Linked DNA regions of Saccharomyces cerevisiae S288C. Changing the gene in region 2 together with the main gene of any one other region gives a genetic interaction. Each region holds a gene or a part of one and is shown on either strand. Other genes may lie near its edges.

What was found.
Region 1: mutations in STE24 (region 2) and ERG25 together harm fitness more than expected from each alone (negative genetic interaction), as found in Saccharomyces cerevisiae (5 studies listed by BioGRID).
Region 3: mutations in STE24 (region 2) and LAS21 together harm fitness more than expected from each alone (negative genetic interaction), as found in Saccharomyces cerevisiae (5 studies listed by BioGRID).
Region 4: mutations in STE24 (region 2) and IRE1 together harm fitness more than expected from each alone (negative genetic interaction), as found in Saccharomyces cerevisiae (5 studies listed by BioGRID, with this or other methods).

The regions. Positions count from the first base shown.
Region 1 is NC_001139.9:607,411-614,043, reverse strand, and holds ERG25 (methylsterol monooxygenase), read right to left. Parts: upstream 3,481-6,633; coding exon 2,551-3,480; downstream 1-2,550. Other genes in the region: ADE6 (phosphoribosylformylglycinamidine synthase), read left to right, coding at 1-2,155; septin SPR3, read right to left, coding at 4,943-6,481.
Region 2 is NC_001142.9:640,361-646,818, reverse strand, and holds STE24 (zinc metalloprotease), read right to left. Parts: upstream 4,813-6,458; coding exon 3,451-4,812; downstream 1-3,450. Other genes in the region: JHD2 (histone demethylase), read left to right, coding at 329-2,515; ILM1 (Ilm1p), read left to right, coding at 2,718-3,329; TDA4 (Tda4p), read right to left, coding at 5,155-5,994; YJR115W (uncharacterized protein), read right to left, coding at 6,368-6,458. UniProt on the Saccharomyces cerevisiae protein: Proteolytically removes the C-terminal three residues of farnesylated A-factor mating pheromone. Also acts to cleave the N-terminal extension of the pheromone. Does not act on Ras.
Region 3 is NC_001142.9:315,319-323,906, forward strand, and holds LAS21 (mannose-ethanolamine phosphotransferase LAS21), read left to right. Parts: upstream 1-1,965; coding exon 1,966-4,458; downstream 4,459-8,588. Other genes in the region: DLS1 (Dls1p), read right to left, coding at 1-239; mitochondrial 54S ribosomal protein bL17m MRPL8, read right to left, coding at 441-1,157; COA3 (Coa3p), read left to right, coding at 1,405-1,662; linker nucleoporin NUP82, read left to right, coding at 4,698-6,839; BNA3 (kynurenine--oxoglutarate transaminase), read left to right, coding at 8,068-8,588. UniProt on the Saccharomyces cerevisiae protein: Ethanolamine phosphate transferase involved in glycosylphosphatidylinositol-anchor biosynthesis. Transfers ethanolamine phosphate to the GPI second mannose.
Region 4 is NC_001140.6:256,143-265,510, forward strand, and holds IRE1 (bifunctional endoribonuclease/protein kinase IRE1), read right to left. Parts: upstream 5,450-9,368; coding exon 2,102-5,449; downstream 1-2,101. Other genes in the region: YHR078W (uncharacterized protein), read left to right, coding at 218-1,876; SAE3 (Sae3p), read right to left, coding at 6,050-6,212, 6,299-6,411; LAM4 (Lam4p), read right to left, coding at 6,659-9,368. UniProt on the Saccharomyces cerevisiae protein: Senses unfolded proteins in the lumen of the endoplasmic reticulum via its N-terminal domain which leads to enzyme auto-activation.

The DNA.
Region 1 (6,633 bases), on a different chromosome or scaffold from region 2:
AATGCCAATTTTATTTGGTAAGCCTCCAAAGATGTCAAGAGAAACCATAACTGAAGCACTAAATCTACCAGAGGCAAATTTGAGCGAAATTCCTTCCCTACAAGATGCTATTCAAAGAGTTCTAAACTTACCATCTGTTGGCTCAAAGTCATTTTTGATTACTATTGGTGACAGATCCGTCACAGGTCTAATTGATAGGGATCAATTTGTTGGTCCTTGGCAAGTACCTGTTGCGGATGTCGGTGTTACCGGTACCTCTTTGGGTGAGACAATAATTTCCACAGGTGAAGCCATGGCTATGGGTGAAAAACCAGTTAACGCCCTAATCTCCGCATCTGCTTCCGCTAAATTATCTGTGGCAGAATCTTTATTGAACATATTCGCTGCTGATGTGAAATCTTTAAATCATATCAAGCTATCTGCTAACTGGATGTCTCCAGCCTCTCATCAAGGTGAGGGTTCTAAGTTATATGAAGCCGTTCAAGCATTAGGTCTGGATTTATGTCCTGCATTAGGTGTTGCTATCCCTGTTGGTAAGGATTCCATGTCCATGAAGATGAAATGGGATGATAAGGAAGTTACTGCACCATTGTCATTGAATATCACAGCATTTGCACCAGTTTTCAACACTAGTAAAACGTGGACTCCATTGCTAAATAGAAACACAGATGATTCTGTCCTTGTCTTGGTTGATCTATCAGCTAAACAAGAGACTAAGTCACTAGGTGCCTCTGCTTTGTTGCAAGTTTACAACCAAGTTGGTAACAAGTCGCCTACTGTGTATGATAACGCCATTTTGAAGGGTTTCTTGGAAAGTTTAATCCAATTGCATCAACAAAAGGAGGATATAGTGCTTGCCTACCATGATAGGTCTGATGGTGGTCTACTAATCACTTTACTGGAAATGGCATTTGCTTCCAGATGCGGCTTAGAAATCAACATTGACGGTGGAGACCTAGAAAGTCAATTAACAAACCTATTCAATGAAGAATTAGGTGCAGTATTCCAGATTTCTGCTAAGAACTTGAGCAAGTTCGAAAAAATCTTGAACGAGAACGGAGTTGCTAAAGAATATATTTCTATTGTTGGTAAGCCATCCTTCCAAAGCCAGGAAATCAAGATTATTAACTCCACAACAAATGATGTAATTTACGCCAATTCGAGATCTGAATTGGAGCAAACTTGGAGTAAGACATCTTACGAAATGCAGAAATTGAGAGACAATCCAAAAACAGCCGAAGAAGAGTTTGCCAGTATCACGGACGATAGAGATCCCGGTTTGCAGTATGCCCTAACATACAACCCAGCCGATGATATGAAGATCGGATTAGAATTATCCAGTCAAAGGCCAAAGGTTGCTATCTTAAGAGAGCAAGGTGTGAACGGTCAAATGGAAATGGCATGGTGCTTCCAACAAGCTGGATTCAACTCAGTGGATGTCACTATGACAGATTTGCTAGAAGGTAGGTTCCATTTGGATGACTTCATCGGTCTTGCCGCATGTGGTGGTTTCTCTTATGGTGATGTCTTAGGTGCAGGTGCGGGTTGGGCTAAATCCGTATTGTATCACGAAGGTGTGCGCTCGCAATTTTCTAAGTTCTTCAATGAAAGACAAGATACATTTGCTTTTGGTGCTTGTAATGGTTGTCAATTCTTGAGTAGATTAAAAGATATCATACCCGGGTGTGAAAACTGGCCAAGTTTCGAAAGAAATGTTAGTGAACAATATGAAGCCCGTGTATGTATGGTGCAAATATCTCAAGAAAAGGACAATTCTAGCGAGGAATCTGTTTTCTTGAATGGCATGGCAGGATCCAAATTGCCAATTGCTGTCGCACATGGTGAAGGTAAAGCAACATTTTCTAAAAGCGCTGAACAACTGGAAAAGTTCGAAAAGGATGGTTTATGTTGTATAAGGTATGTGGACAACTACGGTAACGTCACCGAAAGGTTCCCCTTCAACCCCAATGGGTCGACCAATGGTATTGCCGGTATCAAGTCACCAAATGGTAGAGTGCTTGCCATGATGCCACATCCTGAAAGAGTTTGCAGATTGGAGGCCAATTCCTGGTATCCAGAGGGCAAATACGAAGAGTGGGGTGGATACGGTCCATGGATTAGATTATTCAGATCTGCCAGAAGATGGGTCGGTTGAAAGATTTTTGTAGTTTTTGTATATGTAGTTTTTAAGTTTGAATAATAATTAGAAAGAAGCTGTCTTTTATTTATAGCATTTAATAATGGGTTTGCTTGTTAAAAATTTATCATAAATAGTATGTATATATATATATATATATATGGATATGTATACGTGGTAATGAACGTGTATACATATATTTAAAAGATTGCAATATAGTTTTTAGAATTAACCTGAATTAATTTAAAAATCATATATTAAAATAAACAATTGTGAAGGTAAAAAGAAAGAGTTAGGGGAGGTCAAACAAAGTAAAAAAAAAAAAAAGGAAAAAAAGCGGTTCGAAATTTATTTCATTTTATACGTTTTTTTGTTGTTTTTCTTTTTTTTTTTTTTGAAGTATGTTTCTTCTCTTAGTTAGTCTTCTTTTGAGCATTGTTTTCAGCTCTCTTCTTCATTCTTTCTTCTCTGGAGGCCTTAGCTTCTGGACCAGATTCAGTGTCTAGACAGTAATCCCACCATCTGAAAGAGGAAGCGTAGTTACCAATAAAGTAGTGATGATGCAAATCGTGGTGTTCAGCGCCAGCCCAGAATGGCATGATCTTGTTCAAAGACCATGGGAAGTCATAACCAGAATGAGAGTCAACAGCTTGGAATAATCTTAGGGTGATCCATACACATAGAGTGAACAAGTGTAATTTACCAGTGTACATGACGTAAAGAATTGGCATACCAACGGTACCAAAACCCAAAGACAAAGTTTCAGCAGGATGAGCATATTCAGCAGAAAGACCGAATGGAGCAGCGTATCTGTGATGTTGCTTGTGAATGTACTTGTAGAAGACACCGTAGTGGAATAGACGGTGAGCCCAGTAATGCCATGTATCTTCCAAGACGAAGAATAGACCAATTTCTAGAGCCATTGTTTTCAAAGATGGGAATGGAACTTCGACAGTAATACCTAATTTTTCACACATTGGGTGGAAGGTCCAGATAGGGATGGCCTCGACCAAGAAATGAGATAGAAGAACGGATTTCAAACAGTATAGTTGTTCCTTAGCACTTGGAATCTTAGTTGGTTGTAACTTCCATCTTCTAAAGTATGGAATTTGGTCGATGATGAACCATGGCAAACATCTAAAGAAATACATAAATTCATGCAATAAAAAGAACATTAGACCGGTGGCCAAAACATCATTGTTCATGTAACTGTACCATGCGGCCCAGTATTTCTCCATGAAATTCAATTGAGGTTGGTAATGGGCGACATTTTGCAAAGTTTGTGAGTAGGTGCTTGCTTGGACTAGACCTGAAAGGGTAGCGTTGTTGAAAACGGCAGACATCTTTTCCTCTTTTTTTTATGGCTGTACTACTTTTCCTTAGTCCTCTATGCTACTATCTAAAGAGAAAAAGTTACAACTAATATAAAGATTTACTGGAAGGAAAGAAACGAAGAGAGAGAAAAAAGGGAGAGAAGAAGAGAAGAAGAAAAAAAAGAATAGATCCTCCTGTATTATATATTATATAGAAGTATGCATACACAGGCGTACGCATACAAGAAAATGTACATGCATAACGGATTAATCGTGTGTATATAGTTTAAACTGCGCAGAGAATGAATAATAATAATACGACCACAGCAGAGGCGAGGCAAGCAAGAAAAAAAAAATTGGTGGGAAAGCGATGCGATACGGTGGCAAAGGGCCTCTTCCTCGACGGTTTTGTGCCAGGTGCCTTGAGGTTGCTGACTGTTATCGGTCATTGTTAGTTGCTATTGTCCTAGTGCTAGTCGTTTACCGTATACGATCTCTGTGTCCCGTATACGAAGGGAGGCAGTGGTAGTGGCAGTGGCCGTTGCGGAGCTGGCTAAACGACATCTGGGCGTAAACGACACCCGATAACTGGCTCTGCTCTTTCCTGCGAGATGGTTCTATCGGACCAAGGCCCAAACGGGTTTAAACGGCTGCCCTCCGCACCCGCACGTGACTACACCGGGTAACGAATGGATTGCGTAATATACCGATTTTTACTTTTTACACTTTTTTGTTTCCTATACGACGCGGACGAAGAGAAAGTCTTCTGCGCCAAGGCCGAAAAGAAAAATTTGAAGAAAACATTCTCAGATGCGAATCTACTTTTACATCATCTTCTACGTAGGCCCTTTTTTAGTTCCTTTTTTTTTTCTCCCTCGGTCTGTTTAATCATAGTAAAATCAGATATTGTCAAAAATTGTATTCATTGAATGGAGAGTACTTAAACTTCACATCCTAACATTAGAGATGCCAGAAAAAACATATAGGTATAAGTGAAATCATCATTATGATAAACGAGACGGATGAAAGGAGAAAAAACTGAAAAGAAAAAAAGGGCGGATTGACAATTCAAGAAAAAGGCAAAAAGTAAAGGAAGGTAACATCACTTGATATCGCACCCTTCTTTGCATTGCCTTGTGGTTACCGTACCACTCTTGCTTATGATTTTTTTTTCTTTTTGCGCGCGCTAGGCTGAAATGTAGAGGTTCAAGGTATGATAACAGCGGACAAAGGTATATGATGTCGCGCATTTGATGCCTTAAATACAATTTTTTTTTTTCCCTCCTCCGTCGAAAAAACGCTGTGAAGAATAAAAAAAAATTGTATTTTGTATTACCCGGATTTACTTTAGTCTCACATTGTATTGTTAGGGTTTTGCTACTTATGGTAAAACTGCCGCTAAAAAAATATTCATTTCTATCCTAATTGTATTTTTATTATGTAGAGCAAAGCTTGCGCGAAATTATTGGCTTTTTTTTTTTTTTAATTAATACTACCTTTTGATGTGAACGTTTACTAAAGTAGCACTATCTGTGGAATGGCTGTTGGAACTTTTTCCGATTAACAGCTTGTATTCCAAGTCCTGACATTCCAGTTGTAAGTTTTCCAACTTGTGATTCAATTGTTCAATCTCTTGGTTAAAATTCTCTTGTTCCATGAATAGGCTCTTTTTCCAGTCTCGAAATTTTGAAATTTCTCTGTTGGACAGCTCGTTGAATTTTTTCTTAGCTTCTAATTGTCTAGTTATAAATTCAGGATCCCATTCTGTAGCCACCTTATCCATGACCGTTTTATTAATTATTTCATAGCACTTGTAATTTTTGAGTTTGTTTTCCTCGATTTCATCGAAGTTCATTTCTTCCTCCAAAAATTTCCTTTGTTCTTCCGTTATGTCAACACTTTTCGTTGTTAAGCAATCTCTGGCCTTTAATAGCCTAGTTCTTAGCATTTCAGATCTGCATTTTTCATAATAATCCTCGGTACTTTCTACAAGATCAATTAAATTCCAATCAAAAATCGTCTTTTGCAAGATTTTGAAGTCACAGTACTTTTCATTTTCAATGTCAACAGCGCCCCATTTGTATTGTCTTCCTTTAACTTTTTCGCCCTTTTCATTAAAAATGTACTCATTAGATGCAATTATACTGAATGGATATTTTTGAAAAATATCTTGTGTTGCATTCAAAACTTCATCGCCGAAAAAGAAACATACAGGGATATCTTGTACTCTTATTATTTCTCTAACTTGTGTTTTGAAGTTTTTCAATTCCTCTTTCGTTAGCAAATCTGATTTAGCAATAACCGGGATTAAATTCACTCTCTTCGCTAATTTTTTCATTGTTACGACGTCTAAAGTATCAATTCCCTTATTTGAAGGTCTCAGAAAGTACAAACAACAATGGACTCTATTATCAACCATTTTTGTCCTATCAGGTTGTTCTTCTTGGAAAATGTACGATCTTATTTCTTCATCAATATAGTTAACCATTGTCCTCCACGTAAATGCATTATCCATATTGTTACCAAAACCAGGTGTATCGATGACGTTGAAATTAAGGTGTGTTCCATCTCCTTCTACAATGCTTTTATAACGAATAATAGGTTTGTTTTCTTTGATGTCATCATCAATTAAAGAAGTAGAAAATAAGGAATTGATAAACGTGGTTTTACCCAATCCACTTTGACCCGCCACCATCAGCGTAAAATCAATTCCATTTTTGGCATTCAACAACTCACGTTGACGTGGTAAGTTTTTGATACCGATGTCTTGGCCGTGTGAATTGGTGTTTATTTCTTGTGCTTTCTTGTTATCTAACAATGGAAGGTCCCTGTTCCTGCATTTACCGTTAACAAAAGAGGATGACCTCTGTCTTCTGTGTTTCAGTTCAGGGCTTTTCGGAGGATGTGAATCGACGGCGTACTGTCCTTGGGAACTTTGTCTACGTATTTTCACTTCCTCAGCGAATCCAGAGACTATCTTGGGAAATTCGACAGGACAGTCTGTTGACAACCGACTCCCTTTTGACTTCATAATAAAAATTCAATGACGCAAAAGGAATTTTAGGTTTTTATTATTTATTTATTTATTTCTGTTAATTGATCCTTTTCTTTCCACTACCAACAACAAAAAAGGGGGGAAAAAGATGTATAATCTAAAAGACACTAATCTGCTCTTGATATCCT
Region 2 (6,458 bases):
CCCTAGGTGTAACCAGAAGAGATTAGGAGGGCTTAGGGCCAGTATTTTATCTGATGTAGGGCAAACGAGTAAAATGTGTAGGGTATGGGCTAATATCAAGGGCTTCGGACTTACTGCCCCGCTCACAGAAACAGCCGCACTAATTAATTTCTTTTGTGTAACGTTAAAGTAACCCTGGAATCATCATTGAAAAATTATCATCCCAAGAGACAGAGATGTGCATGTTGACAACGCAGGCTCAATGTAGAATAAGATCTGACTACTTAGTCAATTTTACCTCTAGATCATATTAACTAATCTCATCTTGCACAAAAAACGTATCACTATCATGGAGGAAATTCCTGCCCTGTATCCAACGGAACAAGAATTCAAAAATCCGATCGATTATCTCTCTAACCCCCACATTAAAAGGCTTGGTGTACGATATGGTATGGTCAAGGTCGTACCACCAAACGGGTTCTGCCCGCCACTTTCTATTGATATGGAAAATTTTACTTTTCAACCAAGAATTCAAAATCTGGAGAACCTAGACCTGAAAAATAGGTGTAGGCTATTTTTTATGAAACAGTTAAATAATTTTAAAAGATCCGTTAAGGATCCATCGAAACTTATACTTAGGGAACCTTATACGATTGTAGAATATTCAGATTCTACTCATGCATCGGAAATACTAAAAAAAAAAGTGTACTTTTATGACGTTTTCTCTGAACTAATAAAAGACAATCGGACACTTACTGACACTACACAGTCATTCAGGCGAAAATTGAAATTTAGAGATATTTCCCAATTAAGAGGCGACATCAGTCTATGGAGGACCATTTCTAAAAAATTCAACGTACCAATCGGCTTGTTAAAGGAAATTTTTGAGAAATATATTGCCTCATACTACATATTTCTTCATTCACTGAACGAGAACGTGCACACGGCGCTGCATGCTGACCAGTATCCAAAATCCTTATTAAGTGATGACGAGGACGATTTCGATCTTGGGCCAGATTCGAATTCTGGGTCGGATTTTGAGGAGGACGATGATGATGCTTGTATTGTTTGTCGCAAGACAAATGATCCAAAAAGAACAATTTTATGTGATTCATGTGACAAACCATTCCATATATATTGTTTATCACCACCTTTGGAACGTGTTCCCTCTGGCGATTGGATTTGTAACACTTGTATCGTCGGAAACGGATATTACGGATTCACTCAGGACACGCATGACTATTCTCTACCAGAGTTTCAAGAATATTGTAAACGTCAAAATTCAAGGTTATTACCAGCACGAAAACTGTCTATAGATGAGTTGGAAGAGATGTTTTGGAGCTTAGTGACCAAGAATCGTCGCAGTTCATTAACGACAGTTAAATACGGTGCTGACATACATAACGAATTGCCAGGTCAAATTACCGGCTTTCCGACGAGAGAATTTATACCCAAAAATATAAATGGGGACGAATTGATAGACTACCTCAAATATTGCGATCATCCTATGAATTTAACTAACTTGCCTATGGCTCATAATTCGCTATTACCGTTATTTAAAAGAAATATTTCTGGCATGACTATTCCTTGGATTTACATAGGCTCCTTATTTTCCACATTTTGTTGGCATATGGAAGATCAGTATACCCTAAGTGCTAACTATCAACATGAAGGTGACCCTAAGGTCTGGTACAGCATTCCCGAATCGGGATGTACGAAATTCAACGATCTATTAAATGATATGTCACCAGACTTATTTATCAAACAACCAGACCTACTGCATCAGCTAGTGACTTTAATATCTCCGTACGATCCAAATTTCAAGAAATCAGGTATTCCTGTGTACAAAGCTGTGCAAAAGCCCAACGAATATATTATCACGTTTCCTAAATGTTACCATGCTGGTTTTAATACAGGTTATAATTTTAATGAAGCTGTCAATTTTACTATAGATTTCTGGCTACCATATGGATTTGGTGCGATTACGGATTATAAATTAACTCAGAAAGCATGTGTTTTTGATATGTTTGATTTAATGATCAATGTTTTGGACAAGTACAATAAAGATACTCTATTGTTCAATGATGCTTTTGTTAGGCAATGTTACTCTTCATTGATCGTCTTTTATAATACTGAATTAAAACGCATACGGAAAATTCAGGCCATTGTACCACGGACAACTCTTTTGGAGGTGCATACTGATCCAAACGATGAAGATGAGGAATACGATATATTTTGTTCCCAATGTAAGACTATATGTTCAATAGCCTTTGTATTGCGAAAGAATAACTATGATTCAATTAGAACGTATAAAAGACACAAGAAAAACCATTTAAGTATTAGGCAGTGGAATGAACTATCCACGACGGACAGTAAAGTGAGTATCCTGTGTACGCAGGATTACTTAAAATCAATACAAAACTTGAACAATAGCGACGGTGAAGAACCTTATATTGACGATGAATTGTATTTCACTAAGTCTTTGAAGGATATTGACTCTTTAATAAAGCAAGTTGGTGTTAAGTTAGATAGATAGTCTTCAATATTTGTGTATGGCGTAATGATTTTTTAGAATAATACTTGGCATTTAGCACGCCACTTTTAGCGCGAAAACACCAAAAAAGTAAAGAAAATAATGTCGATCAATCTTTAAAGAGAGACAATTGAATGGTAGTGTAACAATTTACAACATAATAGAGTATCGCATTCAGCAAAAGTAAAGAATAAATTCTAAGAAAATGGCTCAAGCCTTGAACTCCACCAATATTGCTTTTTTCAGAGTAGCATTTTTATTCACGATCGCCTTCTTTTGTTTAAAGAACGTTAATTCTATTTTGCAAAATACATATTTCATAGTCTTAACGCAAGCGATGAATTTACCGCAGTTAACACTGTCACGTTATAGTGGTCAATTGGGTCTTTTCGCTCTTCTGTTTACTCTTAACGGTGTTCATGATCTAATTCCCCTGTTAGAAAACAATGTTAAATACTTCCAATCTGTTGTGCCAGTTAGATTACTAATTTTTTTTATTTTGACAAGTATCTCGTACCTTTGGGAGTCAAACTTTTACGTTCACAATAACTCTGTTTTTATTTACTGTTTTGCAGAAGTTTGGATAAATTTTCTTTTGTATAATGCCATTAGGGAGGAGAAAAATGAAGAGTTCAAAAGATTGAACCAATTCATGGTTAATGATGAGGATATTGAAGAACCCCAACCATTTACCGTGAAGACTGAAACCACAGAAATCATTGAAATAATCAATGATGAAGAAAATGACGATGAAGATGGGAAAGATAATGATGATAACAATGAGAAAGGTAATGATGATAGCGATGCAAAAAAATAAAATGTTTAATCGTTTATTTTTTCTTTCCTTTATTCTTATAGTAGATACCTGTGTATGTATGTAGATATAGACATAACGAAGCTGAATTTAACGGTACATGCTAATATGTGTACTCTATAGATTAGTTTTTCTTCTTTTCACTAACATAGTCTAGAGCGGTCAATCTTTCAGCTAGAGTTGGATGGGAATAATGATAGCTAGAATACAGAGGATCTACATTCATGGTGGAAAGGTTTTTGATTTGTAGATCAATTAGAGCCCTACATAGATTTTGCTTGTAGCCCAATTTTTTAGCATAAGCATCAGCTTGATATTCATGAGTTCTGGAAATTAAACTCATCACGAATTGCATGGCACATTCGAGTGGAGTTAATAAGTCGTTAAATAACATAAATCCAATGATAATGGGGAATTCCTTAGTGATAACGGGATCAACAAAACTGCCAGTGGACTTCTCTAAGAAAAAGCCGAAGGTGTTGTAAAATGATGTATTTCTGTAGATGCTGGTGAAAAGGGAGAAAATGAGGAAGGTGTGCAATTGACTAAAGATGACCATATTAACGATGTGGTTTTTTTGCCAGTGACCGATTTCATGGGCCAAAACAGCCGTAATTTCATCAGTAGAATTACTGTTCACTAAAGTGTCGAACAAAACAATTCTCTTGGAGGTGAATGGCAAACCTGTGAAATATGCGTTTGAATGAGAAGATCTTTTTGAGCCGTCAATGACAAAAATCTTATCTAGAGGGAACCCAACTCTATCGGCCAAACTTTCAATAGATTTTTTCAGTTCACCGTCCTCCAATGGAGTGAACTTATTAAACATGGGCATGATGAAGACTGGAATGATTGTCATGGCTAAGATTTGGACAACGAACAAGAAGACCATAATGTACCAAAGGAAATCAGTAGGGAATTTATCAAAGATCTTAAGGAACAGGTAAAGGATTGGGCCACCAATAGCATACGCCAAAGTCAGACTCTTGATCATATCGGTGATCCATAGTTGGACGGTCAATTTATTGAAACCAAATTTTTCTTCCAGGACAAAATGGCTATAGTAAGAGAGTGGCAAATCAACCAAGGTAGACAAACTGGATAAGAGACCCAAGAAGCATAAACTCTGTGCGACAGTGGAGACCATATGAAATCTGACTGGCAGGACTGCATTCAATAAAGAAACGGCCATGTGCCAGATTTTAGGGAAGAGGTCGTATTTGATGAAAACTAGCTTTTGGGCTAGGTTATAGACGTCACCGAAAATGGAGAACTTGGCCTTGGCCCGGGAGTAGTTCCTTGATTTATGAAAAGTTTCATCATCAATTTCGTCTTCCAGCACAGGTGGCAACTTTGTTTCAGATAGCTTCTGGTACTGTCTGTACGTCAAGTAAGATTCGAAAGAAAATTGGGCAATCGAGAACCCAGAAATGATTAATTTCCACGGGATATTAGGATGGTCGAGAATCGTCTTAAGATCAAACATGAATAAAGGCCTGCAGTTTTCTATTTCCTCCTTTTTTTTCCTTCCTTTTCCTGTTAATTATAGAAGTGGTTTATAATTCGCGAACTTTTTCTCTTGTTCGTTGTCTTTTTTTTTTTATTTCCCGTCGATTTTTTTCTGGAGAAAATGGCAGAACAGAGACGAAGGAATTAGAGTTTTTGAGTAAATGACGTAGAAAAAGAGGGAAAAGTTTAATTGCCTCTTTTTGGTTAATAGGAATGAATATACAAGTTTACATATATGTATATTTGTATGTATGTATGTAGATGTATGTGTGTGTGTGTGTAAGGCGTTTCGTTGTTGAAGATAGAAAAAAAGGTAGGTTTAGTCTAGCTTCGACGTTGGGGCTGGTTTTGCAAGTTTCTTGGCGATTCTAATCATCTTCTTGAACCAAAGCACGTTCAAAAGGTTCATGAAAATGTTCAGCGACATCATCGTGACAGCAGAAAACTTGGGTAACTCGTCTCTTACCTTCCACATCTGCCTGAATAAGAGAGCGGATGCGATGGAGCCCCAGCAAATCCTGACGACGAAAAACACAGTCATGAGCAAAAGGCCATTGACGACATTAAACCACAGAGGGATAGAGTTCTTGCTCTTGGCGTTACATTGCATGATGAACCAATTGATGTTCACAAAGGGAGTGGAGGCCTCGTAGATAAGGAACCTGCCGATCCAGGGTTGGCAGAACGGTCTTAAGGACAACAGCATCACATATACGGAGCCAATGGCGTGGCCCGTGAACTCGAGACCATAAAGCTTGAAGTAACGCACGCACATAGTCAAGTCCCAGATAAAGTACCCTGCGCTGAGGGAAGATACCATTGAACTGTACGAATCTGTGTAGGTGACAACATTATAATGCATTGGCGTCGTGAGGGTGGGCAACAGGACGGTGTTCGAGACGACAGCCTGGATCATCGAGACGGTGTGGACATTGAAATCAATTTTCAGCAGTGGGTCACGGATCGTGGTGTAGTGCTTGCGAAAGACCACTTTATTCAAGAACGGTGCGACAACGGAGAATGCGAGCTGGTAGAAGACGAAGCTGAAGATGATCTCATGCAAATGAGCCAGTATTAAATTAGACGAATGAGGGAAGAAGGACAGCTTTTCGAAGGGGCTGGTGAGGCCGATTGCTGTCGTGGTAGAGTTGGCGTTCATTGCGGCAAGAGCGATAGCTTAAAAATATTGTTTTTTTTTTCTCTTTTATTAAACTATGTTTTATACTGTTATGTTGCGTTGAGTTATGTCAAAATATTATGTTGCCTTGTATGTTTTTGGACCCGACAAAAACACAGGCTGAAAAGAAACACGTATGTATGTATATGTATATAAACATATGTGTGCATATATAAGTGCACGTATAGAAATAATATGCGATAAAAGTCTATTGTTCCTGGCTCATAAAACCTAGGAACTGAACGAGTTTTTTTCTTTGGTGATTCTGGCGTGATTCAACATTCGTATGCGATGACGGGCAGATCCGCGTCGTAAAAATGTTCTTAAGAAAGGAAAAGGGGAAAATGCATGCTAATCACATAATGCTAATGGGCCGGATGTTATTAGTGAGAGGAGAAGAGTCGCTGGATGCTGGGGAAGCGGAATGAGCTTCTGCAGTAGAAGAA
Region 3 (8,588 bases), 330 kb from region 2:
AGTTCATCTGGGAGCGGCGGTACCTGTTGTTGTTGCTGCTGCTGTTGCCTATGTAGGGACTCATGTGTCAGCACCTGGACGAAGAATTCTGTAGCAAACGCTGTGGCTACGAATGCGTCATCCGAAGTGTCCATATATTCTGGATCATTCTTGGCTATTCTCTGCACTTTTTCTACAGGTAACTTGGGCGAACACAGAGGTGCAGACGCCGTTTCTTTACCACTAGTCTCGTTGTTCATTGTGTTAGCCTGATCACATCGAGCGAGCTATCCTGACGCTATTCTCTCTTGTTTCTTCTGTTTTGTTTCTCTTACATTTTTCATTTTTTTCTCTAGTTGGAAAAAAAAAAAAACACTATATTAGAATACGCACATTGTTAGCGCTGTTCTTTCAATTGTCATCTATATATTTACAAGGGAATACACAAAATCCTGGTTTTTTTAAGGTCTGGGAACCATGACATAGGAGGAGGGTTTCTTCGTCTTCTTTGGCAATGACGAAGAGTAGACCTCCTTCAAAAGTGCCTGCGTCCTTTCGTTTTCGAGTGCCTCATCATAGGGAAGGGACATTTCCTTGAGTAAGACCTGCTTGATGAGCATAATTTCACCATGTAGCTGCGCTTCTGCTTTAAACTTGGCCACTTTGTGAAGATTCTGCAATGTGAGTGGGTTATGAGGTAGCTGGTTGGCGTCATCGTTGATGACTGACTTGACTAACAGCCACATCTTTAAATTGCCCCTGTTCACCGTATGCGATTCGGACATCACGGGAGAGTCGACTAGTTCCAAGACGGATTGCGGCGCTGAGTCGTTAGCCCTAGGCTCTAACCGCAGCACACGCGTGTACCCACCGGGCCTTTCCAAGTACCGCGGTGCGATCTCGCTGAACAACCGCTTCATCAACTTTCTGTTGTCTCCTGCTAAAAACAATTGGCTCTGAATTTGGGACTTTAATTCCGCCTGTGCAACACTATTACTTGTCGTTATTGCCCTCTTTGTCCAGGTAATGATCCGCTCTGCGACCCTGGAAGCCTCTTTACATTTGGCATGCGTTGACACTATAGATTCATGCTGAAACAACTGGCACGCAAGGTTTTTTAGCAGCGCATCCCTATGCGCCTTGTCCCTAGAGAGTTTCCTAGCAATACCCACTGTCATTGTTGCGCTCGACTGTGCTTCTCACCGTTTTTTCTCCTTGGCGTAGCCAAATCTCTTGACCGTTATAAGCTGTTTTAGCTTGTCAAATCCCACTTGTTCTTGTTAACCAACTTTTCCCGCCTCGTACGCGGTGACAGACAAAGCAGTGATTTTTGCTCATTGTATAAAGGGAGTCTTTACTATGGTGGCATAAGCAACAATACTACGTGAGCAGCAACGAAAGCACATATATAGACGACAAAGTAGTATGGTTTTGAATCCGTCCAAGTACCAAGACACCCGCACGTGGAAGATGACGCCTGCCATGATCAGGGCCCGTAAACCCTTTTTCAAAGGCAATATGCTCGGTCTCACGCTGCTGCTGGGTGTCACGGGCTCTGTTTACTACTACACATATCATTTTCTGCACAAGGACAACGACTTTGCAGACGTGCCCATTCCACCCATCGATCCGCAGGAGCTCGAGGCTCTCAAAAAGGAGTACGAAGCCAAGAAGAAGGCATGAAAAGACCGTTAATGTGGAGGTACGCTGTGGTCTTCCATCAATAGGCTTTGCGCTGTTCTTCTCTCCTCTTTTGTAAATAGTTTACCTACTTGCGTATATGTATATATATATATATATAGATATGCTTATACGGATATATACATACATTCTGTTTGTTTATACTCTTTGTCCTACTCTAACAGCCAGCTCTTTAGTTTAAGAATATGATGAAAAACTCAGTTTGGGAAAAAAAAGGAAAATGTTAAAGTATAAACAATATCGAAATAAGTTCATCTACCACGCACACTTCACCAAGTTAGCAAGATGAACTTGAAGCAGTTCACGTGCCTATCATGCGCTCAATTACTCGCTATTCTGCTCTTTATCTTTGCTTTTTTCCCTAGAAAAATCGTGCTGACAGGTATATCAAAGCAAGATCCGGATCAAGACCGTGATCTCCAGCGCGATAGGCCCTTCCAGAAATTGGTGTTTGTGATCATTGATGCTCTCAGATCAGACTTTCTTTTTGATTCGCAGATTTCCCACTTCAACAACGTGCACCAATGGCTCAATACGGGCGAAGCATGGGGTTACACGTCATTTGCTAATCCGCCTACCGTGACGCTGCCTAGACTCAAAAGTATTACTACGGGATCTACACCTAGCTTCATTGACTTGCTGCTGAATGTAGCCCAGGACATAGATTCCAACGATCTTTCGGAGCACGATTCCTGGCTGCAGCAGTTCATCCAACATAATAACACGATTCGTTTCATGGGCGATGACACCTGGCTGAAACTGTTCCCACAGCAATGGTTTGACTTCGCTGACCCGACACACTCGTTCTTTGTCAGTGATTTCACTCAAGTCGATAATAATGTGACGAGGAACTTGCCCGGGAAATTATTTCAGGAATGGGCCCAGTGGGACGTGGCTATCCTGCATTACTTGGGTCTTGACCATATCGGGCATAAAGATGGCCCGCATTCAAAGTTTATGGCTGCTAAACATCAAGAAATGGACAGCATTCTGAAGTCAATATATGATGAAGTGTTGGAACATGAAGATGACGATGATACACTGATTTGTGTTCTTGGCGACCATGGAATGAACGAACTGGGCAACCATGGTGGCTCTTCAGCCGGCGAAACATCAGCAGGATTGTTGTTTTTGTCACCTAAGCTGGCGCAATTTGCTAGGCCAGAATCGCAAGTAAACTACACATTGCCCATCAACGCTAGTCCGGACTGGAATTTCCAGTATTTAGAGACTGTTCAACAAATTGATATCGTCCCCACCATAGCAGCACTGTTTGGTATGCCAATCCCCATGAACAGTGTTGGGATAATAATACCTGACTTTTTACAACTGTTGCCCAATAAGTTGGCAAGTATGAAAGAAAATTTTATGCATTTGTGGAAATTATCAGACCATCACGGCGAGGTTGCTCTTGACGATTTCACTGCCGAAGATATTTATACAAAGATGTACACTATTCAAGAAACGTTAACCAAGTCTGCAACAAATTATAATTATCCTCTTTTGACACTGGCTTTTGTTGGTTTCCTCATAATAACAATCATCGCCATTTATGTATTATTACGTTATTCTGGGCCTGATTTTTGGCAGTTGCGCGTTTCTTCCCTGTCTGTTCTGTTAGTTTCCATTATACTAGGCGTTTCCACATTTGCAAGTAGTTTCATTGAAGAGGAGCACCAACTGTGGTGGTGGATAGTAACTGCATTCTCGGCGGTCCCTCTGTTCGTATACCGATTGAATGTGCTCATAATCGTGCGCTGGTTTATAATGATGGCATGCGTACGCTCAATCAAGTTTTGGAATAACAGTGGCCAGAAATTCATTTATTCTAACGTTATGTCCAATCTACTTAATCAGAATCCTTCCTGGAAGTGGTGCTTAAATATGTTGACATTTCTAGTGCTGATAATGGCATCTGCTGGTTTTCAAGTACTACATTTTATTGTCACTACTATTTTGGTGGGGTTGTGTTTCACGTACAAAATCTCGTGGGAAATCGTCAATGGTAACCAGGCAGAAATACCGCTCTTTATGCATGATTTACTGGCTAAGATAGACTTTGCACCAACTGAAAGTAACTTGATTGTACTTGCGCGCGTTTTCTTCCAAGCTTGGGCTATTGTTGTCATTTCAAGGTTGGTCCTGACGAAATTGAAAGTACTTAACAAGAACTACCTCATTAAAGATATGAAAGTTTATATAACAATTCTTTTGATGTTCCAAACTTCTTCTCAGAACATAGGTCAATTTCTCGTTTTCCAAATATTAGAGTCCCAAATTTTTTACTTTTTCCAAAATATTCCAACCGCCTCATTAACATCAACAAGTAAGATTTATTTTTCGAATTTGGTGTCCTTAATTTTACAAAATTTTACATTTTTCCAATTCGGTGGCACAAATTCCATTTCTACTATAGACCTTGGAAACGCATACCATGGTGTTTCCTCAGACTACAACATCTACGTAGTGGGGATATTAATGTCCGTTGCCAATTTCGCGCCGGCAATATACTGGTCCATGCTACCGTGGTCAATAAACTACGCCTCTATTCCAGCACAAGTTAAGTTGCAAACGTTCATCAGAAGTAAGTTACCTGCCTTCACCTATCATTGTATATTTGGAACTTGTTTGATGACGGCATGCGTCGTTTTGAGATTTCATCTCTTTATTTGGTCCGTTTTCAGTCCAAAATTATGTTATTTTCTTGGGTGGAATTTTGTGATGGGATTGCTGAATGGCTGGTTACCTGAATTGGCCCTCCTTTGCGCTCTTGATTAACATAGAATTGTTCACGTGGTCTAAATATGTATACATATATGATAGTTTATAGATTCATACTGAGACAAGTGAAAAAAAAAAAATCTACTATCGACCTTCTCTCTTTTCGCGGCAGCAAAAATGAAAAATTAACTTCAATAAAAAAGTTGAATACTTTCAAATATTCTAATTGCATTTAATATTTAAGCAACAAAAGGACAGCGATAATTGAGTGGTGGCTTAATTCTATACTCCAAAGTATGTCCCAATCTAGTAGGTTAAGTGCACTTCCTATTTTCCAAGCATCGCTTTCGGCAAGCCAATCTCCACGTTACATTTTTAGTTCTCAGAATGGCACAAGGATTGTTTTCATTCAAGATAACATAATAAGGTGGTACAATGTACTCACTGATTCACTTTACCACAGTTTGAACTTTAGTCGTCATCTCGTCTTGGATGATACCTTCCATGTAATATCTAGTACGTCTGGTGACCTACTCTGTCTTTTCAATGACAACGAGATTTTTGTAATGGAAGTTCCTTGGGGCTATTCCAACGTTGAAGACGTTTCCATTCAAGATGCATTCCAAATTTTCCACTATTCAATTGATGAAGAAGAAGTTGGTCCGAAATCGTCCATTAAGAAAGTTTTGTTTCATCCAAAGAGTTATCGTGATTCTTGTATAGTGGTTTTGAAAGAGGATGACACTATCACGATGTTTGACATCCTTAATTCGCAAGAAAAGCCTATCGTTTTGAACAAACCGAACAACTCCTTTGGTTTAGATGCACGTGTTAACGACATCACAGATTTAGAATTCAGTAAGGACGGATTGACGTTATATTGTCTAAACACCACAGAAGGCGGTGATATCTTTGCATTTTATCCATTTTTACCGTCAGTATTACTGTTAAATGAGAAAGATCTCAACTTGATCCTAAACAAATCTTTAGTAATGTACGAGTCCCTGGATTCTACAACAGATGTTATAGTTAAAAGGAATGTTATTAAGCAGTTACAGTTTGTGTCAAAACTGCATGAAAATTGGAATTCAAGATTTGGCAAAGTCGACATACAAAAGGAATATCGTTTAGCCAAGGTTCAAGGACCATTCACGATAAACCCCTTTCCCGGCGAGCTGTATGACTATACTGCTACAAATATTGCAACCATACTAATTGATAATGGGCAAAATGAAATTGTTTGTGTCAGTTTTGATGATGGGTCTTTAATCTTACTCTTCAAAGATTTGGAAATGTCAATGTCGTGGGATGTTGACAATTACGTGTATAATAATTCTTTGGTTCTAATTGAACGAGTCAAACTACAAAGAGAAATTAAGTCTCTAATAACGTTACCTGAACAGTTGGGAAAACTTTATGTCATTTCCGATAATATTATACAACAAGTAAATTTTATGAGCTGGGCTTCTACATTGAGTAAATGTATCAACGAATCGGATTTGAATCCACTTGCAGGATTGAAATTTGAAAGTAAACTTGAGGATATTGCCACCATAGAAAGAATTCCAAACCTAGCGTATATCAACTGGAATGACCAATCTAATTTAGCCTTGATGTCGAATAAAACATTGACTTTTCAAAATATTTCAAGCGATATGAAACCGCAAAGCACCGCAGCTGAAACAAGTATCAGTACAGAAAAAAGTGACACGGTAGGAGATGGTTTTAAAATGAGTTTCACACAGCCCATAAATGAGATTCTTATTTTGAACGATAATTTTCAAAAAGCCTGTATTAGTCCATGTGAACGAATTATCCCATCAGCAGACCGCCAGATACCTTTAAAAAACGAAGCTAGTGAAAATCAGTTGGAAATTTTCACGGATATTTCCAAAGAATTTTTGCAAAGAATTGTTAAAGCTCAAACTTTGGGTGTTTCTATCCACAATAGAATTCATGAGCAACAGTTCGAATTGACGCGCCAACTACAATCGACATGCAAAATAATTTCAAAGGATGATGATTTAAGGAGAAAATTCGAAGCACAAAATAAGAAATGGGATGCACAACTAAGCAGACAGTCAGAATTAATGGAGAGATTTAGTAAATTGAGCAAGAAGCTATCTCAAATCGCCGAATCCAATAAATTTAAAGAAAAGAAAATAAGCCATGGTGAGATGAAATGGTTCAAAGAGATACGAAACCAAATATTGCAATTCAACAGCTTTGTTCACTCTCAAAAATCCCTTCAACAAGATTTATCGTACTTGAAGAGTGAACTAACTCGTATCGAGGCAGAAACTATCAAAGTCGATAAAAAGAGCCAAAACGAATGGGATGAGCTACGCAAAATGCTTGAAATAGATTCAAAGATAATTAAAGAATGCAATGAAGAATTGTTACAAGTTTCTCAGGAATTTACTACTAAAACTCAATGAGTAAGCGACTTGCATAGTCTGCTATCATATATGTACGCTAAGAAACAACTGGGCAATGGTATAATATCATGTAGCAAGAGGACATTATATATGAATTGGTCAATATATAAAGCCTTCTGTGCACCAAATCGTTAGGATGATTTTTCAGTATGCTGTATCATTGTATCGTATATTCATTCGTATCTCTTTTACCTCACTAACCGCTGCCAAAATTTACATGTATACAAAATAAAAGTCTTTTTTATGACCTTATTTGGTGAGTAATGCTACTTTTGTAAAGAGTGATGGAAACTATTATTCCAAAGGGTTAGAAGAAGGTGAGGAATACGTTCATATCACCGCTACAGATCGTGTCTCTCGGTTATGAGTAATCAAACCCTCTGCAAGCAACACAGTTACTTTTTTTCGGTTTTTTCTTTTCGTGTGAATTTTTATCCAGTGAGTTTCCTTGTTCACTTTCGAGAATGGAAGGCTGATTTCGAATTTTTATATTCAACAACTGTATTTGTATTAGGCTTTGCAATAGTAGATGAAAAGTGCAGAAGACGAATCTGCTACCCTCACAATACAAAGAAAAACAAAATCGTCATTTTAATATAGGAAGACACCGCTCAGGTAATTCAATATTGAATCTGGTTGCACTTTTCTTACGATGTAAATACCCACAAACTTCTTGTACGGTGAGCGTCTGACAACGAAATCAATTTACGGAGCAAGGATTTTGACAGTAGAGCAGATTGTTTTGAGTAGGATTTAGGAATCAAGACCTCCATCTTTGTCGCATTATTCCTAAATGTAACGTAACTCGTTTGATAAGAGAATGTCTAATCGAAGAGAGTTAATAACTTAATAAGCTCTTTAAAAGAACGATGGCATTTATCGTCTCCTATGCCAAGATAATTACTGGCTCAAAATTGTTCAGCGTTCATAAAACTTTGATATCACTTTCTGGCGCACAAGCTAACCTTTATGTAGTTCTTACGTAGATTCTTTTTAGCAAGTGCCTGGTAGTGGTTATTACATAAATGTATCTTTTCATTTGATAACAATTTCTTCAGTAGCATGTCGTGTCTAGCACGTGACGTAGAACTGTGGCTTTTTTGTTGTCATTATGACAATCAAGATACCAAAATTCAGTCATGTTTAAAAGGGGAAGGTACGATAGAGATATATATAAAGTGTTCAATTTACTATAATTGCGTATAGAATCCATTGTTACTTGCTCTCAATGAAACAACGATTCATTCGTCAATTTACGAACCTAATGTCTACTTCGAGACCGAAAGTTGTTGCCAACAAATATTTCACTTCTAACACTGCCAAAGATGTTTGGTCGCTAACCAATGAAGCCGCTGCAAAAGCTGCCAATAACTCCAAAAACCAAGGCCGTGAACTTATTAATTTAGGCCAAGGCTTTTTTTCATATTCCCCTCCTCAATTCGCCATTAAGGAGGCTCAGAAAGCCCTAGACATTCCAATGGTCAATCAATATTCTCCAACTAGAGGTCGACCTTCATTAATTAATTCCTTGATTAAGTTGTATTCTCCTATTTATAACACAGAATTGAAAGCGGAAAATGTTACCGTAACAACAGGTGCCAATGAAGGTATACTTTCTTGCTTGATGGGGCTTTTGAACGCTGGCGACGAGGTTATTGTTTTTGAACCTTTCTTTGACCAATATATTCCAAATATCGAACTTTGCGGTGGTAAAGTTGTTTACGTCCCCATAAATCCTCCAAAGGAATT
Region 4 (9,368 bases), on a different chromosome or scaffold from region 2:
GACTTAGTCATACAGAGTCTATTTTAGCTTAACCATTCGGTTTTATTTTACAGTCTAGACTCAAACGAGTGAAAAATTGCGATATCTGCGATGACCGAGTCCTGAACAATAAAAATTGACCAGCAGGGAAAGAAAAGGAAAAGATCTCAACTCTGGCGGTTGCCTCCAGGACCTGCACTAGAAAGGACTATTGAGTGTAGACTAAGTGGTGGACGGGATGGAGGCACTTATCGTATTTATAGTGCTTTCCGTATCCGGAGCATTTGCTTACAAATGCTCCTATGAAAGGCTCTGGTTTAAAGTAGGGTCTTTGTTTGACATTATATCAACTTCCTCGAAGAAAAATGTCATTCCGTTGGCAAGCAAAATGGAAGTTGGCTCGAATGAGGATGTGTCTAGTATGGGTAATTTCATAAATAAATTCTACACAGAGTATTCTTTACCCTCACATAAGGTACTGCAATCACTGCGAGTCCTTTTTTCATTAGCAATGATGACGTATACAGTAACCATAGAGATTATTCTATGGCAGATTAAGGTTGCTGGAATGGACAAGGAAGTTACTTTCATAACGACTTGGGTGTGGCCTCTGACTGCAATCATGCTATCCTTCATACTAATTTTATTTCAGCCCTTTTTCATTATAATATCGTTACTGAATAAATTCTACAATGACAAGTTCGATATCGATAGGTTGATAATAGTGACATGCATAATCTTGTCCACACTTATTGCGCTGTTAAGTTACATAAATATTGGACCGTTCCAGTACACAAAAAATATTCTAACTAGATTGTCCATCGGAGGCGTCACAGTCATGGCTTCCCTATCTGGGTTAGCCACTGTTTCTAGTTTATACTACAACTTTTTAGTCATCTGGCACAAGTTTCGTAATACACCAATGTCAGACCCCAGTTTTAGAAACATCAACAACAGCAACAATAACAGTAAATCTCTCTTATGGACAACAGACGCCTATATAGAGGAAAAAATCCAAGATTATGAACACAACATTGAACAAAATGTACAAATATTAAGAAGTTTAGAAGAAGAGGTCGGAGAAAACTCAACTTTTAAAGCAGAGTTGATGGAAAAAATCGCCTGGTATCAACTGGAGCTTGGGAAATTGGAAGCATTATTACAACAGTCCCCTCAGGTACGCACTTTTAAGAAAGCTTTTGAAGTCGGGTTTATCATATACTGTCTTCATAAACTAATAATAACTTTCCTGAAAAGAATCCCCTATATCATATACCACTCGCTCAAATATCCAGATGACTACGATTATGAAAATTTTAGTGAAAATGCAGCATCCGATCCTTTAGCCATTACGATAGCAAATATTTTGGATTTTTCGTTTTTCAGGTTCAATTACCAGCACGATCTCGATTCGTTAACAAAACAGATATCGTTATTTTTGTCAATTTCTCTCTTTCTTTGCTGTCTTTCTGCTGTCAATACCACCATCTCCTACGTTGTGACCCTTTTGCCCATAAAGTTCCAGATTCTTGCACTTTTCGCCATGCAGAATGATGACACTGCTAATGTACTTCCAGAGTACACCAATAACTCTTCCTATAAGGGAAAAAAGAGAAACTATTCTCAGGAACAAAAAGGAATATCTTTGATAAAAAATCTGGTGGTGTCAGAGTTGACTGGCGTCTACGTTTTGGCTACAACGCTAATGGTTAGGTCCCATCTCCCTTTTGAAGTATCACAAAGATTAAAGGAGCTATTGGGTGGAAAGTTTACCGTCCCAAACATTGTCATAGATTCTTGGTTTGATGAAGTCTACGCTTTTGCATGTGTGTTTACCTTTATTTGCATAAGAATTGCAGAACGAAAGCTTTCCACCAAAAAAGTCAGTGTTGAATAACTGGAGTAGTATGTCGATGTTCGATGTTTATGAGATATGTATTTATAAAATTAAATGTCTGTCGGGTAGTTTATGTAGGGATGAGAAAAGTAGTATAGGTTCATGAAGAAGTACAACTTTTTTTCATTTATGCAAGGGCGTAAAAATTATGGATGGTTACTACTAATGATCAAAGTAACATTAATGCAATAATCAACCAAGAAGAAGCAGAGGGGCATGAACATGTTATGAATACAAAAATTCACGTAAAATTTGATCGTCACTTAAATTTTCCTTGACAATCATATAAACACCTATTAATAGGTTTGGAAAACGCTTGGTGAAGTAATCGTAAAATCCATCGGGTACCGGCCCCATTAGTTCTGCTATATCTTCAGGTAAATCCATAAAATGATGATATTTATTCCTAAGTGCTCTTAATAGATCCATTAACTTTGATGAATGGTATTTTCTGTACCTTTCAAGGTTGTCCATGAATGTTTTATCAAACTTGACAGTCCAATCTCCACTGGGTATTACAAAGTCAGAACCGGCGTCAAATTTCATTAACAGGGCACTTGGAGGGTCTCTGTTTTCAATTTCAAGCCTATCACTAACTTTTAAAAGGAACTCCAATTTTTTCGACTTTGGCCAAAACAACGGATGCCTTAGAACTTTCATAGCAGTAGGTCTTTTTAACGGATCGTGATCAATCATTTGGGAGATCAGATCTGTAGCTTCTGCAATTAAGGATCTATCATGTAGACATTTCATTTCATCAAGACTGAATATTCCTCTTATGATATTGCTTTCACGTGAATATTTATCTCCAAATGGATGCTTCCCTTTGGATAGGATATAATAGAATACACATCCCATAGAAAAAATATCAATAGATCTTGTTAGCCTCCTCTTGGTGAACGGATCATAAAAAGAATCAGATGAAACTACTGTATGCCTACTAGAAGAGTGTTCCGTTTCGACTTGGCACTGCAAATTGTTTGATTCTTCAAGCAGCTCTGGGGCCCTCCAACCACTTGTGCCAGAAGGGTTATTCAAATTTGTTCTAAATGAAGACTGACCAGAGTCTAGTTTTTTGCAAAGACCAAAGTCTGATATCAAAATTCGAAGATTTTCTGCTCCTGTTTGCTGATCGGCAGTAAACCTACTCGAAGTAGAAACGAGAATATTTTGAGGCTTTAAATCTCGATGGATAATCTTTAAAGAATGTAAATGTGCTACCCCGGACGCTATTTGTCTCAATAACGAAATTGGATTATACTCTTTCTGTAATTTCAGGTTTTCATCTGATACATTCTTAGACTCCACCAAATCTTGAAGGTTCAAATTGCAGAGCTCTAAAGCAATATACAAAAATCTGTCTGTTGTTTCTGAACAGTAGTATCGTATGACGTTAGGGTGATCATCGCTTTCAGTCAAAAGTTTTATTTCCATTAAAGCTATGTCACAAAAATCAATTAACATTCTCTTTACCGCAACAGGTCTTCCTTGAAAACTTCCCTGAAAAACTACTGTTCCTGATGAACCGTAACCTAAAATTTTTTCGGATACTACCAAATTTTTTAAAGATTGCTCAAAGTTTGGTATATTTGCAATGCGTGATTTTCGGCCCTTTTTGCCTCCTCTCGAACCTCTTTTCCTCTTCTTCTTTTCTGTGGTTAAATCTAGTGATTTTTCATCATCTTCATCAGCATCATCGTTATCTTTTTCAGATTTTAGACTTCCATCGTTCACAGCACCTTCAAAAACAACTTGCTTCCCTGATTTCATATCGAATGGCTTGGTTACATTTTCCGATGAAGAGGGACAATTTAGCGATTTCGACTCAACTATGGGGATTTCCTTTTCAGGCATAAATCCAATTTTGGATAATAATACATATAGTGGCGGCAAAATTTTGAATCTTTGTAGTATTGCACAAAAAATGAGAAATAACAACAGAAATACTCCAGTCTCTATAATTCGATATACTAGACTTCCAAACTTCAGTAGCAAAGAATTTTGGTTCTTTTCATCTAATTCTCTCGATATTTGCTCGTGTATCTTTTTTCTATATGCCTCAAGGTCTTCTGGTGACATGTATTCCTTTAGTGAATTCATCTCGTTATTCTGATGTAAATCGGTTGTATCAACGGACGAATCAATCATCAGAGGTGGATATTTGTGCGTAGTGTCCAAACTATTCGTTTTTTCATAGTTTTCATAAAGGTGATCATATTCATTATTATATATCTGATGAACACCCATGATTGCGTTCTTGAATAAAGTCTCATCTTCAAAAATTGAAGACACCCTCCAACGGTCACTGGAAGCGTATCTTGATATGGGAGCTGATTCGACTAAAGATGGAAAATTCTGACTAGATAATGCAAACCAGGAGAGGTTCGAAGTCTGATCCAAGTAAACTTTGTTACTCGATATACTTTCATGATCACCAGGATTAAAGGGATGCGGTACCAGTATATTTTCATTGGTGCGGAGATCATTAAACACATCGAAAAGCCCAACAATAATTCCGGGGAATGTCGGAGAAACCCATCTAGCAATTCTAAAATCTAAATCGCTTGCTAGCAATGATTTATCACGGAAAGGCGCTATGCACATGCCGTCCTTTGAAAATGTATTCTGAAGCGCTAGGGGAACATCTAAAACATTTTGCTGCCATGTAGAGTAAGTGACATTGTAGCTTGCTCCATCATAAGAGTGAATTCCCAGCTCAAAAATAGTTTTGCCTATTACAATCATATTTTCACATTCCTGAAGTTTTATCTTCTCCTCAGGTGAGCAATCCACACTCTGGCTCCCGAAATACCCGTTTTTTGAACCAGGTCCGAACGCTGATATAATTTCACCATTCAACATGTTTATAGTATACATTATAGTTCTCATCGATCCAGTGTAGACCTTTTCATCTTCAACAATTTTTCCAGAGTCATTAACCACAATATTTGTTTTCAAGTGCAGCGGGGAAGTTGATACAAGTTGTCGTATGGATAAAGGCAGTTTTTGTAACCCTTGATGGGCGTTAAAGTAGTAAATGTTCCCATCACCGAAAGGTTCTATAATCAACGTTTCATATGTTTCTAACCTCGAAGGTTCTTGTATTTCTATCAGAGGTTGAAAATTTTCTGGTTCGATTGACCATATGATATGACCATTTCTTCTATCTACAGCATGAAGTCCACCCTCAACGTCGGCTGCGATTAGTATATCTGATAAACTCAGTTCGTTCAAGGAACGATTCTCCAAATAGGGTACACTTATAGAATTGGCAGCCCTACGTCCTTTTTTGTTAGCACGTCGATTATCAGCAGTATTCAATAAGTTAGGAGTTGGATATGAGCTGAGTTTCATATTTGGTAAACCTTCAGTGGTTCTTGGAGCAGGAATGGGCGAGTTTATATTTTTATCCACACCATAGTTGAAATTGAGCTTTTTAGTGGAGGCAACTTCATCTTCCACTATCTGCCGCCTTGAGGTGCGAGACGACAATGGGATTGAGCATGAAATGATGGATGAAAACACACAAACGAGCAGTGTCAATACTAACATGTTTCTTCGAAGTAGACGCATTTTTCAAAGTGCTAAAATATTAATTCCTCAGATATGCTGTTTTTTTAATGTGTATGAAGGGTGATATGGAGAAAAGTGATAATGGACGTGGGGAAGAGGAAAACGATGCTTTGTGAATGAGAAAAAAAAGTTACTTAGCAGATTACCGATTATTAACAGTGCCAGTTATAGTGTAGATTTAATTGTGTAAAATTAATATTGTTATAGACTTTTCACTGTTAGTTTATGTGAAGTTGGCTCATTGATCTCCTATGATATGTTTTTCGTTTATTTCTTGTTACTATGTGATTAATCTCTTTTTTTAAATTTTATTGTTGGAATAGTCGAAGGTATTGCCCGAAGAGGCTTACGCTCCGTCTTGATTTTCGGCAATAAAATAGCGAAAACCTATTATATAACAGAGGGTAATAAAACCTCAAAACTACAACTATCAATATATTTCACACTACGCAGCTTAATTAGTAACTGTATAATAGCATTTAAGTTCATTACTTCTTTGTAATTTTATCTTTTTTTTTTTTTATATAGTTTTCAGCGCGCAGCAGAGTTTCATTGGAACGCTTCGCACGTTGGAAGAATAGAACTGTCCCTAAAAGCCCATTAGTCCTTCATTGAATAACCGATCTCTTCAAAAACATCCTTAATTTTGCATTGCTTTTCATCAGCAATTATTTGGGCCAACCTTAAACCGGCATCTCTCAATTCGTTGTACTCCTTTAACTCTTTAATGTACGTCGAGGAAATTTTTTTTGGTGTCTCATCACTTTGACAAGTTCTGTTAATAACAGAAACTAAATATTTTTTGTTTGTTATACCGATTTTTGCCGACTGGAAAAAATAGCTACATACTTTTTCTTTTCTTTAGACAATTGCTCAAACATCTTTATCAGGTTGCCATTCATACTTTCGTATTCCTGTATCTGTTTTTGCTTTTTATTTAACTGTGTTTCCAAATAGTTCATACTTGCAAGTTGTCTTCTGTTTATGGCAAGGATAAGACCATTGCTTTTAATTTAAAATTATTCTTATACTCTGTCTTTGCATTTATGAAGCAGAAATAGAATAGCCGCCATTAGGCAGAACAATTCCGTCTGATGTGATAATGCAAAGTGTGCCTGTCATCTAACTTAAAAGGAATCAGGCCAACCGCTACAGGATATGTACTAGATACAATTACTAAATAATACAAACAGAATATATAAAATGCTATTAAGATAGATCATTTGCGTCCCTCTCAATGTTGTCCAACATAGTTTTCATATGATTTAGTTGCATTTCTGTTATTTTGATACTTTCTGATAATTGCTGCAATTTGTGTTCGTCATCGTTTCTCAACATAGCACGACCTCGAGGTGATATTGCACTCCCTCTGTTACTGATCCAATCCCAAATATCGCTTTCCCTTCCTACAATAGGACTCTTATCCCTTGCGTAATTTACATTTTCTCTCTTCTTCTTAGATGATATGGCGTTTTCATATGAGTTATACAGTGTGCCGAAACTGGGCACGTAATTATATTCTTGACCATCAATCAGCAGCCTTCCTGGCTTGATGATTTGAAGATTATTTTTTTCTTGAAACACGTGAAGCCGAGGAGACCAGAAAAGCATAATGGTCAACCCCAAGATCAAGAATAGTTTTTGAGGACTCAGCAATTTGTTCATAAAAATTTCTGAACTAAAATTATTCTGAACGAAATCCAAAATATGAGTTAAAATGTCTTTATTATCATCGCTCTTACGGCTTTCGGAACTTTTCTGTTCAACCTTACTATGGAAAGGCCTATGTTTATCATGACTCTTCATTACTTTCTTCACCGGTTTTTTGCTTTTTGCCCTGCTAATAATGTCTCTTAACTCGGATAGCATGTAATCGACAGAAACCTTCTGACCCTCAACAGATCCTTTCTCAATTGCACCTTTCAAAAATGATTTACTTGTCCAGTTGATTTTTGTTATAACGGTCATATTCGTGGTGTCATGCTGCCCCCAGAATAGAAAGATTTTACTTTCTACTGCAAAATTGCTACCAGAGGGGACGTCTGGAGTTTTAGTTGTTTGTGTCACCAAAACATAGTTATTGATATCCATGTGTTCAATAGACTCGGTTAGTAAACATTTTGTTTGCTTAGGTCCGATAGAATTGTTCAATTTCTTCGTGTACTCATAGTGTCTTGAACCTCCTTCAACCAACGAAGGCGTGAATTTTGGTATCGTTTCCACATTGACATTATTCTTATCTCTAGTGATAACTTTCTGCATATACTCTGTATTCGATCCAAATAGCAATTGGACCACGGTCCCTAATGGAGCTGGTATATTCTCATTTTCCCTTATAATAGAGTCATCCTTATCCTTTTGAATATCAGGCTCGGTAGGTGCATGTGAGCTAGGTTCCATTTTCGGTAAAGTTGATACTGTAACAGTGTTCTCCTTCGAAGACCTTTTCCTTTTGGTAGCAGATCTTGTTAAAATATTACCAAGCTCCTCCACCAATATCTTTGTTGCATCCGTTACACCATCAAATGTACCCTTTTCAATAGGACTTTTGATCAAGCTTTTACCTGTCCATTCAACAGAGACATACAGTTTTAGTTTTGTTTCATTGTTGTTTGCCCATGATAAAAGATAAACTGTTCTCACATAAAATGAATTTCCAGAAGGAACATCCGGAGTTTTTGTTGTTTGCAAGACTTGAACATACTCCTCTAAGTTAAAGTGTTGAATGGTTTCAGTTATCATGCATTTAGTTTTACCGGGTCCAATGGCACCTGGTGTTGTTTTTACGTAGGAATAATCTCTCTTTTTACCTTCAGAAACCGTGGGTGAATCAACGAGAACAGGGATTGGCGAAATATCACTATTCTTTTGCGCTTTTAAAATGGCCATAATATAACTGACATCTTTCCCGAATAATATATTGACAACCCGCCCTAACGAAGCGTGTATTGTTGATTCGTTAACTAATTTTTCATTGGGCGCTGGTTTGTATACTGTTTCTGTGGGTGAGTGAATTTTTGGACCTAGTGGTGGAATTCCTGTTCCATAAGGGGTGTCTGTTTGTAGAGGCATGGGTAAATCTTCCGGCTTTCCTATGCTGACGCTTGATGTCATGTCGGTAGAATCAGATATGTTATTGCTATTATCGTAAAGATCGTCATCATCATCTCCATAATCATCGTAATCATCATCGTAATCGTCATTTTCATCATCACTGATAGAATTGGAGCTGCTATTAGTGTTATTACTGTTGCTACGAAACCTCTTTCCCAAAATTATTTGATTCCATACTTCAGTAATTAAATCATATGTAGCATCTCTTGAAGTGAAAGAGGCAAACGTGTATTTTGTGTGTAAAGTGTCTATAACGATCCCATTAGGGAATATTCCTGCTGTGGCCCTTTTCTCTATTTGAACGATTGTCTTGAACGGTATAAAAACGGTACTTACCCAACCAAGGATGTTCGAATAAAATCCAATATGTTGATCAGAAATATACATTCTGCCTTGCAAAAGGATATCTCTTGACAAAGCACAACTATGGTCTAAAATCAACCTTTCATTGGGGCTGACACCAGAGTCCTTGAATATTGCATGGAATTCTGCATCTTTCTTTTCGCTCGCGTATTCGACTCCCTTTATTCTAATGCTGGATTGTCTACCATTTTCCTCCGATGGCTCAATGATATTTACGGGGGTAGATGAAAAGCTTTTACTAGAACTTCTCCTCAATCCCGAAGATGGACGACCGTTGGACATACTAGGTCTCGGTATGATGGTCGATGCAATATCAGTGCTGTTTTTTACTTTGTTTAGCGAATATTTCAGTGCCGTCGAAGGTAGTACTTTCATTCCCATGCTAATGCTTCCGGGGGAAAATGACCTCCTGTTAAGAAACTTCTTGGACATTTCCCTAGGT